Linked DNA regions of Oreochromis niloticus. The protein of the gene in region 1 interacts with the protein of each later gene in a biochemical or structural test. Links are inferred from orthologs where the notes say so. Each region holds a gene or a part of one and is shown on either strand. Other genes may lie near its edges.

Region 1 (3,924 bases):
GGACAAAAGGACCATGCCTCCCACAGCCAACTGTGAACTTGACGGCCTTTTGTTTGCCACAAGGCCAAAATGGAATCACTGTAACGTGTAGCCAAAACAGTGAACCTGTGTGTACCCGTTTCAACTTTTGATCCCCCCCCCCAACTTGAATCAACAGCACATCTCTTTATTCTGGATAGTATTTTGACCATTGTATATCGTTTTATTTATCCATTAAGTATCAACACTTTCCAAAGCTTATAAAATTGCAGTCTTTGTTTTTTTTTTGTTTTTTTTAGGGAAGCAATACAATAGAATGTTCCTTGCAGGCTAAAACAGCCTGTGTGTGCTCCCGAAATTGAAAACAGGAAATCTCAAACAATAAGAAGTTGTGTCAGGTTGTCTGAAGTTGCAAGGGGGAAAAAAACACCACACAAGTCCTACAGTTTTTGTGGAGAGAATTAGAAAAGGCGTGTTCATTTTTTTCAAAACAGACCTAGCAAAGTGAGAGCACTTTCAAAAAGTTGGGGTCTGAATAGACACAACAAGTATATTGTTCATCATTTCCTGAGGCTGACTGATTGTGAAGGAAAGAGACTGACTGGTCATAAAAGCTGCAGGGTTTGCGCGCTACTCATTGAAGTGAAAGAACAAAGCTGTTGCATTTGGCAAAACGTGATTTTGGCTGCCAAAGTATTTGGTATCTGCGCAAGCCGCATCAAGGGCAGCAATTAGGTACAATATCCGCATTGAAAGATGTTTGGGAGGTGCAGGGTATAGTAGTCAATATATTTTAATAAAAATGCATTTATAACTCCTCAAACAGTGTATATTTTAAAATGGTCAATAGCTGACATTTCATGTTTTTTGTTGTTGATGAAACCTAAAAAAGTTTCATCCTAAATCCATCGTGCCACAGAACAGCCGTTTTACTAAATCATGATGTTCAGTGTATGTAAAAGCAATCAGACGACTGCTTAACGTTCAGCATTGTACTGGAAGAAAAAGTGACAAAATTTGAAGTCAGAAATACACTAATCGTGGATCGGGGAGGTCTGGAGCGCCAGCAGTCCTCCGCTGTCTGGTGACGCTCTTCCTTCCTTTCCCACCCAGAGAAAGCTGAGCTTCACCAAAAGTTAGACTCTCTGCTTAGAGTGACAGTAGAGTGATCTCCCAAAACCAGCTGGTTACCGACGAGATTTTACAAACCGAACGGGAGAATTGGAGGCTTCGACGAGTTATGCGTAAAAAAGCGCACCGTCGTGACGCAGCGTCACCGTTTTGGATGTAGAGCTCACCCTAAAAAGAATCACACGCCGGCAGTTGAATTCCAGCTTTCCCCAATGAGGATTACAAATACCACGATGATTCTGTGGGTGTTTGCGTTGTGCTTCTTTACTTTATCAGGTAAGAGGGAAACTATTTCAAAACCTGTCTGAGTAGCTTACGGACCTAGAATATTTTTGAGAAATCTTATATTAAGGAGGGGATAAAAACTAACGTCCAAGTTATACAGAGATAACCCAACCTTGATCCACTTATAGTTTTTAAGCAATTTTTTTCGTTTGTCTGAGACCTTGTCAGCACAGCGCGTAGATCTATGTACCCTCAGGGAATAAGGAGCTCATCCATGTTTCCTTCCATTGTTCTGTGGATTTGGGGCTCACATACCAGGGAGAAGGAATGCTGGGCAAACTCATGTTATTGGATTTGGCACTTTTGTTAATGCATCATTCCAAGAGGCGTTTATGTTTGAACCCAAACCCCAATCGGTATTCTCAGTAATCTGTAATTTTAAGTCGAATGATCTTCCCCATTTAACGCAATATGATAATAAGGCGTTATTAACCAAAAAAAAGAGTTACAACACATGCTTCCCTTCGATTCAATATTTATTCCATGTGTCTGATAGATGAGTTTTATGAAATTAAGTTGACACAATCATCTTTAATTTAATGCAGAACTTCAAATCTGACACTTGATCACAACTGGAATGAAACAGTAGTTCCACACTGCTAACGACTGAGCACTTTAACAGCTCCAAGATGACCATGGAGCAATTTAGTAATGTGTACATTTCTAGGGAAAAGTAATACAAATTGAAAAAAAGCGTATGTATTTTCTGTCACTGTGTGAATCACTTAACATTAAAAATAATGGGTCTTCCCCCTGAAAAGACAACTCTCCATCTCTCTGAATAATTAAATAAGGTTTGTTACACGTGATTAAAAAAACTCACACTGTTGCCTTACATCAGAGAATGACTAATGCTCTGTTTTACAGATGCTGTGATTGACCTGACCATGTTCTCTGCAGCCATGATCAGAACCCCCGAAAACTTCTCCATCTCTTGTATCAATGGAGAGCGCAACTCTGCCCAGGCTGAGTTGGGCATTAAGAAGGACAACAAAATCCTCATGTTCTCCAGTACCCCACAATATAGGGTGCACAAGTCCGGAAATAAAATGGTTGTGGCCAGAGACTTTAGTCACCTAGAAAGCATTGGCATCTTCTACTGTGAATCTTCTCAGGAAGTTGGCCCAGTTGAAAAGATCACAATGATTAACAACCTTGACAACGGTGTGTTTGCACTTCACAAAACAAGACTTTCTTCAGAGAGATTTATTTTATTGCTTAAATCTATTATGCATGAAATACATGTTTAAATGCAACTACTTTCAAGGGTGTGCCATTAAAAAAAAAAACAATAACAGCGTCTTTGTTCCTTACAACAGATTTCGTTCCAAATTCCCTCACACTGATTGCTAATCTAGGTGAGACAGTTAACCTCACTATGCACTTGATCAACTCCCAAAAGAGAGATGTGACCTGGAAGTACAACGGTGAGTCAGCGTATGCAACTCGGTATAGAGGAAGGAAATTTTTGTGCAAACGCAGGCTCAAACAATGACATTAATGTTGTCGCTTGTTTTTGTAGGAAACTACTATTATATGACACACTGGAACGACATGATCAATAAAACTGCTGAGCTAACGGTGGAGAATGTAAAGCTTGACAATCAAGGTATCTACAGTGCCAGCTATGTTGGAGACAGCCCTCTCAAGGGTGCCTGGATGAGGCTCATTGTCAGAGGTTTGTTGGGTCTCACACACACAAACACACACACACACACACAATCAATCGGTGTCAGATTAAATCAAGAGTTTTGTAGCATTTTTTGGCTCAGATGTTCAGCTGAACTCACAAAGGATTACACAAGACATGCTGAAGTTGACTCAGTGCGCGTTCTGCTAGACTGATTGAGATGCAAGAGATTCCTCAGCTCAAAATCTTTCTATTTAAATGGAAGCTTGTGGAAATCTAAGTTACTGTTAAATACTAGCCTACCCTAAACTGTGAATTCACTATAGGCTACATCTGCACATTTTATTTGGCAAGGCATGTGCAGCACATATGTTTGTGTCATTTCCTTTATCTCAGTACCCCAAAGAAAAATTACAGCATTAACACTATCTCCACCCTCCACCTGCAGCCGGCTTCTTCTTTGTTGTCTCCACCAGATGCACATTTTACTGTAATTTAGCATGCATTCAGTACTATGAATCCTTTTTTCATTTAAATAGGTCACATGTGCTTAAAAAAATATCCAAAACAGAATATAAACACACAAAAGGCGAAATACACGTAAATGCTATCGAAGGTGTTTGAAGTCTCTGTGCTGTTCTAAGTAAAGAATCTGTGTTTCTTTGCAGGTTGCCCCAGTCAGAAGTGGGGTCCTAACTGTATTAGAGATTGTCAAGAGTGTCTCAATGGTGGCGTGTGTCATGAAGTGAACGGAGACTGTATCTGCCCTCCAGGATTTATGGGAACACGCTGTGAGACAGGTTTGTACTCTACTCAGGCAAACATCTGCATCTGCAGCATTGTATGGGAGAACTTTCTGTTTGTGAATGAGATCAGTAAAAAGGAAGATAGAGGAGGAT
Region 2 (3,924 bases), on another chromosome or scaffold:
GCAGAATACTGTGACATGTACTGTAAGTATGCATAAGCAGAAGGATACACATAAACATACGCTGGATACAGTATTTGCACATACATCACACACAAACAGAAAAACAGACACACTCAAGCACGTACACAAATTTGAATGTCTTGAACTGACGAGGAATGTTGAAATTCAGCCAGAAATCAGACAGCTGTGTCTCCCGGAATCAGAGATTTTAATAGGCTGGCCGTAACAAGGACTTGACCTTTAACCCAGGGTCTTTCAGCGCTGTGTTTCCTCACTCTGCCCCTTGTTCTGGCTTAATGATAAAGAGGCATTCCATCTATCCCCTGCTCATTCTTGGATTTCACTTTTGTTTTCATGAAAACGTGACACTGGAAGGCATGTGATATACTTGTGCATATGTAAACTCTTAGTTAAGATACCAAGCAAAATGACACCTAAAAAGCCATATGATTTTAAATCTGGAACAAGCCATAATAATTACAGTTTAATAATCCGTTACTGTACAAATTCAGTGGACAAGACCTCCCATAGTTCAGGCTCCACACAACCATTTTTCAACCAGATGTGTCAGGTCTTCTACTGCATAAAGAAGTATTGGAGACAAGTTGTGCTCACTGGCGCAGACTGACTCAGACTGATTGCAGTGCGTTGGCAATCTGTCTGCATTTATAAACTAGACAGTGAGTATTTGCAAACTTTCTCTGAGTGATTGTAGTCTGCCTGAGTCAGACTGCAGTTGTTTGGAGACAGATTACCCAGGAGGTGACCTGTGCAATCAAAAGTGGTCACGAAGAGGTTGAGGATGTTGCACCTCCAGTCTCTGAGCAACCAGCTGGTCGTGGCAACTACTTGCAGTTGGTTGCTGAATGCAATGCAATACAATGAAATCACTGGGAAAAACATGGTTTTTATTAGTCATAAGGAGGTTGCTGACTTACGTTTGCCATTAGTAAACTTAGCGCATGAGAGTAGACTTTATCCAACCACAGGTGCTTTGTGACTGTGTACTGAATTTTTACTTTACTCTATAGTACATATTAAATAGTTGCATGTACATATACGTATATACTACTTACAGTATATATAGTGTCAGACAGACTTAGCAAACATTAGCAAAATGATAGAATGAGAATAGATAGCATTTTTGGTGTTTGAGTGCTCTCTAATAGTATTTTAAATTTACTGCAACAAATTCTATGGAATGAAACATACTTAATATCTTGTGGTAAATGTAGCTCAGGCTTATGGTTTGCTGACCACTAGCCACTACGTAAGTTTGCAGTTTGATCCTATGGCTACTTCCATCTAGGTGGTGCAGTTTATAAAAAAAATGCTTGTCCTGACTGTGGATTTGTACTTTCAATAGATAAGCAGAAGAACATATAAAGCTACCCCGAGCACAGGTGACAGGTTAGCACCTGTTATTAGCTGAACAGGGAGAAAAGAAGAGATAAATTAAATGCGTGCGTTCAAATTATTATTATTATTATTATTTTTTTTTTTACACAGGCAAGGGAGCAGGTCAACCACATAAACCGGCCTGAAAGCTGATCCCCACAGTGTAAGCATGTCCTCTGTGCTGAGGTCTCTTTCTGCCAGGATCACTGGCTCGCGCGCGCGCACACACACACACACACACACACAAATGCGTCCATGCACAGAGTCACATTCCTCTGCAGGCTCTGCGAGGGGCAGGCGCAGAGTGTGCTGGAAGCTTGGAACTGCTCTTCAGAGTGAGCGTCTCCCTCTCTCTCTCTCTCACTCTCTACCCCCAGTCGTTAAGTTTGCGAGCAGAGGAGGAAAGGACGGCAGAGAGACCAGGGGAGGTCTGACGACACTATCCCAGCATACCCAGCACCTACTTTAAATGCACACTCTGATAAACGCAGGCAGGCTCTGATTTACTGGAGGAACACCAAGAAATATAACCAAGCTGTCACACTCCAAGACATGTGTGCAACTTTCCCTGCCAGGACACAAACTTAAGAGGAGGTTTGGAAACATAGCATGTGTGTCCCGTCCATGGCAAAAAAGTCTGCATGAACTCTGACTGCTGGAGGTCCAACTTAAGGATGGAGGATACATGTTTCAGGCTAACGTTTTCTGATTCAGCCCTTAAGAGAACATCTAGTAAAGCATAGAAGGGGAAACAAGAGACACAAGAAATTTAATCACCCTCAACAGCGCTTCCAGGCTGATATGATGCTGTGGTACCACTACAGTCGTCACCTGCTGTCGCTGGCGGCGCTTCTGGTGATCGTGAGCTGCGGAGGAGGTGAGCAACGGAGAGGGACGGACGGCAGCAGCAGTAGCAGTAACGGAGGGAGTACTAGTAGTAGTAGCAGCAGCAGTAGTAATTCCAATAACAGACGTTTTCATAAGATCCAGCATGGCCAGTGCACCTACACCTTCATCCTACCTGAGGGAGAGGGAGCTGGAGGAGGCTCCTGCAAGGAAGCGAAGGCCAGTAGCTCGCAGTACAACGCCAACTCTCTCCAGAGGGACGCTCCACCACCTGAGCCAGACTTTCCCAGCCAGAAGATCCAGCAGCTGGAGAACGTTATGGAGAATTACACCCAGTGGCTACAGAAGGTAAGGAGGAACTGTATGTGGAGCATCAGGTGCTAGACCTCTCTTTTCTTTTAAACATGATCTTGGCTTAATGATAAGCTGAAATAAGAACGCAGTGGAATTTTCCTGTTTTAATTAGAACCACGCAGAAAATCTTAGAATTACATCTGCATGAGTTTTTTCTTTTGAAGTGGCCACGCTGCTGTGTGTTATTTGTTGAGATATTTGTGTCTGCTTGGGTGTGTGGTCTCCCCGGAGCGTCTGTTTGTAGCTTCACTAGATACCTTGTTTTGGTTTGTGGACGAGGCTGTCAGACTAAAACCATGCAGTGTTTGCTGTTTTCATGTAGTCGACACATAGTTTGTCAAAGTGCTTGTCAGTAGGAGAGTTTATGTGCCTTGGAAAAGTGCAGCTTTCTTTTACCCGTATCCCCCCCAAAGGGTGATGCTGTGTGGCCACTTTCAAAATAAAATTCCAGAGATTACCACATAAAACACTGACAACATCAAAAATGTTAAAATGCACGGCTGTCAACTGGCTGACTTACACCTCATAACTCCTTCAGTTGTTGAGAAAGCAGCCTGGTCTCATAGTGGCACTAATCTTCTTTGCTTCTGAGTTGACAAACAGACTTTTATTAGTTAACAAAATATGTGTTTTTGATAACACACAAAAGAGGACAGACTGGGGTATTTGGTTACGTAACTGTGTACATTGACTGCACTGAACTTTTCGTTCTGGATGTCACACAGCTGTCCGGTTTTCACGCACAGACATCTCGTACTGCTGCGTCTCTGTCTAACACATCTCTGTTTTCCTGACGTCTTCCTACTTTTCTCTGTGTTAACCGCAAAATTCCACAGATGTCCTTTTGAGTCGCATCGGTCATACAGCAAAGGTAGCTATATGTCAGTCACCCCCTGCTCTCCAGTGGGCCGTCTCTTTAATGGCAGGAAGTCAGAGAGAGCCCCAAGAGACTCAGAGAGGAGGAAAAGACAGGGAAGGAGAACGCTCTCTTTATTTTTGTTCAAGTGTGAGTTTAGCCTGAAAATCCAGATTCATATAAAAGAAGTTTTATGTGAACATTTTTATTGGAATAATTTATTGGTTAAATAACTCCTAAATTAAATCCCTTTAAAGGGAATTTGAAGATCTGTGAGGTGCTATGTTCAAATATGGTTCTTGTGTGATGTTAATAAGACGCGAATTCTGAAGCCATATCTGATACGGCTTGGCAGGCACTCTGCTTTTTCAGGCTTTGAGACTTTGTGTCTCCGAAAAGCCCAAGACCGTCTCTCTGAAATGAATACATGATTCAAACAAACAAACTTCCAAATTTGGCATCACAGGATC

Evidence for each region.
Region 2: the proteins of tie1 (region 1) and angpt1 interact in a biophysical measurement, tested with the Homo sapiens proteins (2 studies listed by BioGRID and IntAct, with this or other methods). The link is inferred for Oreochromis niloticus from reciprocal best matches to the Homo sapiens genes TIE1 and ANGPT1.

Annotation. Positions count from the first base shown.
Region 1 is NC_031981.2:32,931,588-32,935,511, reverse strand, and holds the start of tie1 (tyrosine-protein kinase receptor Tie-1), read left to right. Parts: upstream 1-1,075; 5' UTR 1,076-1,322; coding exon 1,323-1,386; intron 1,387-2,262; coding exon 2,263-2,559; intron 2,560-2,714; coding exon 2,715-2,822; intron 2,823-2,917; coding exon 2,918-3,073; intron 3,074-3,693; coding exon 3,694-3,825; intron 3,826-3,924. UniProt on the Homo sapiens protein: Transmembrane tyrosine-protein kinase that may modulate TEK/TIE2 activity and contribute to the regulation of angiogenesis.
Region 2 is NC_031985.2:14,962,247-14,966,170, forward strand, and holds the start of angpt1 (angiopoietin-1), read left to right. Parts: upstream 1-1,734; 5' UTR 1,735-2,199; coding exon 2,200-2,592; intron 2,593-3,924. UniProt on the Homo sapiens protein: Binds and activates TEK/TIE2 receptor by inducing its dimerization and tyrosine phosphorylation.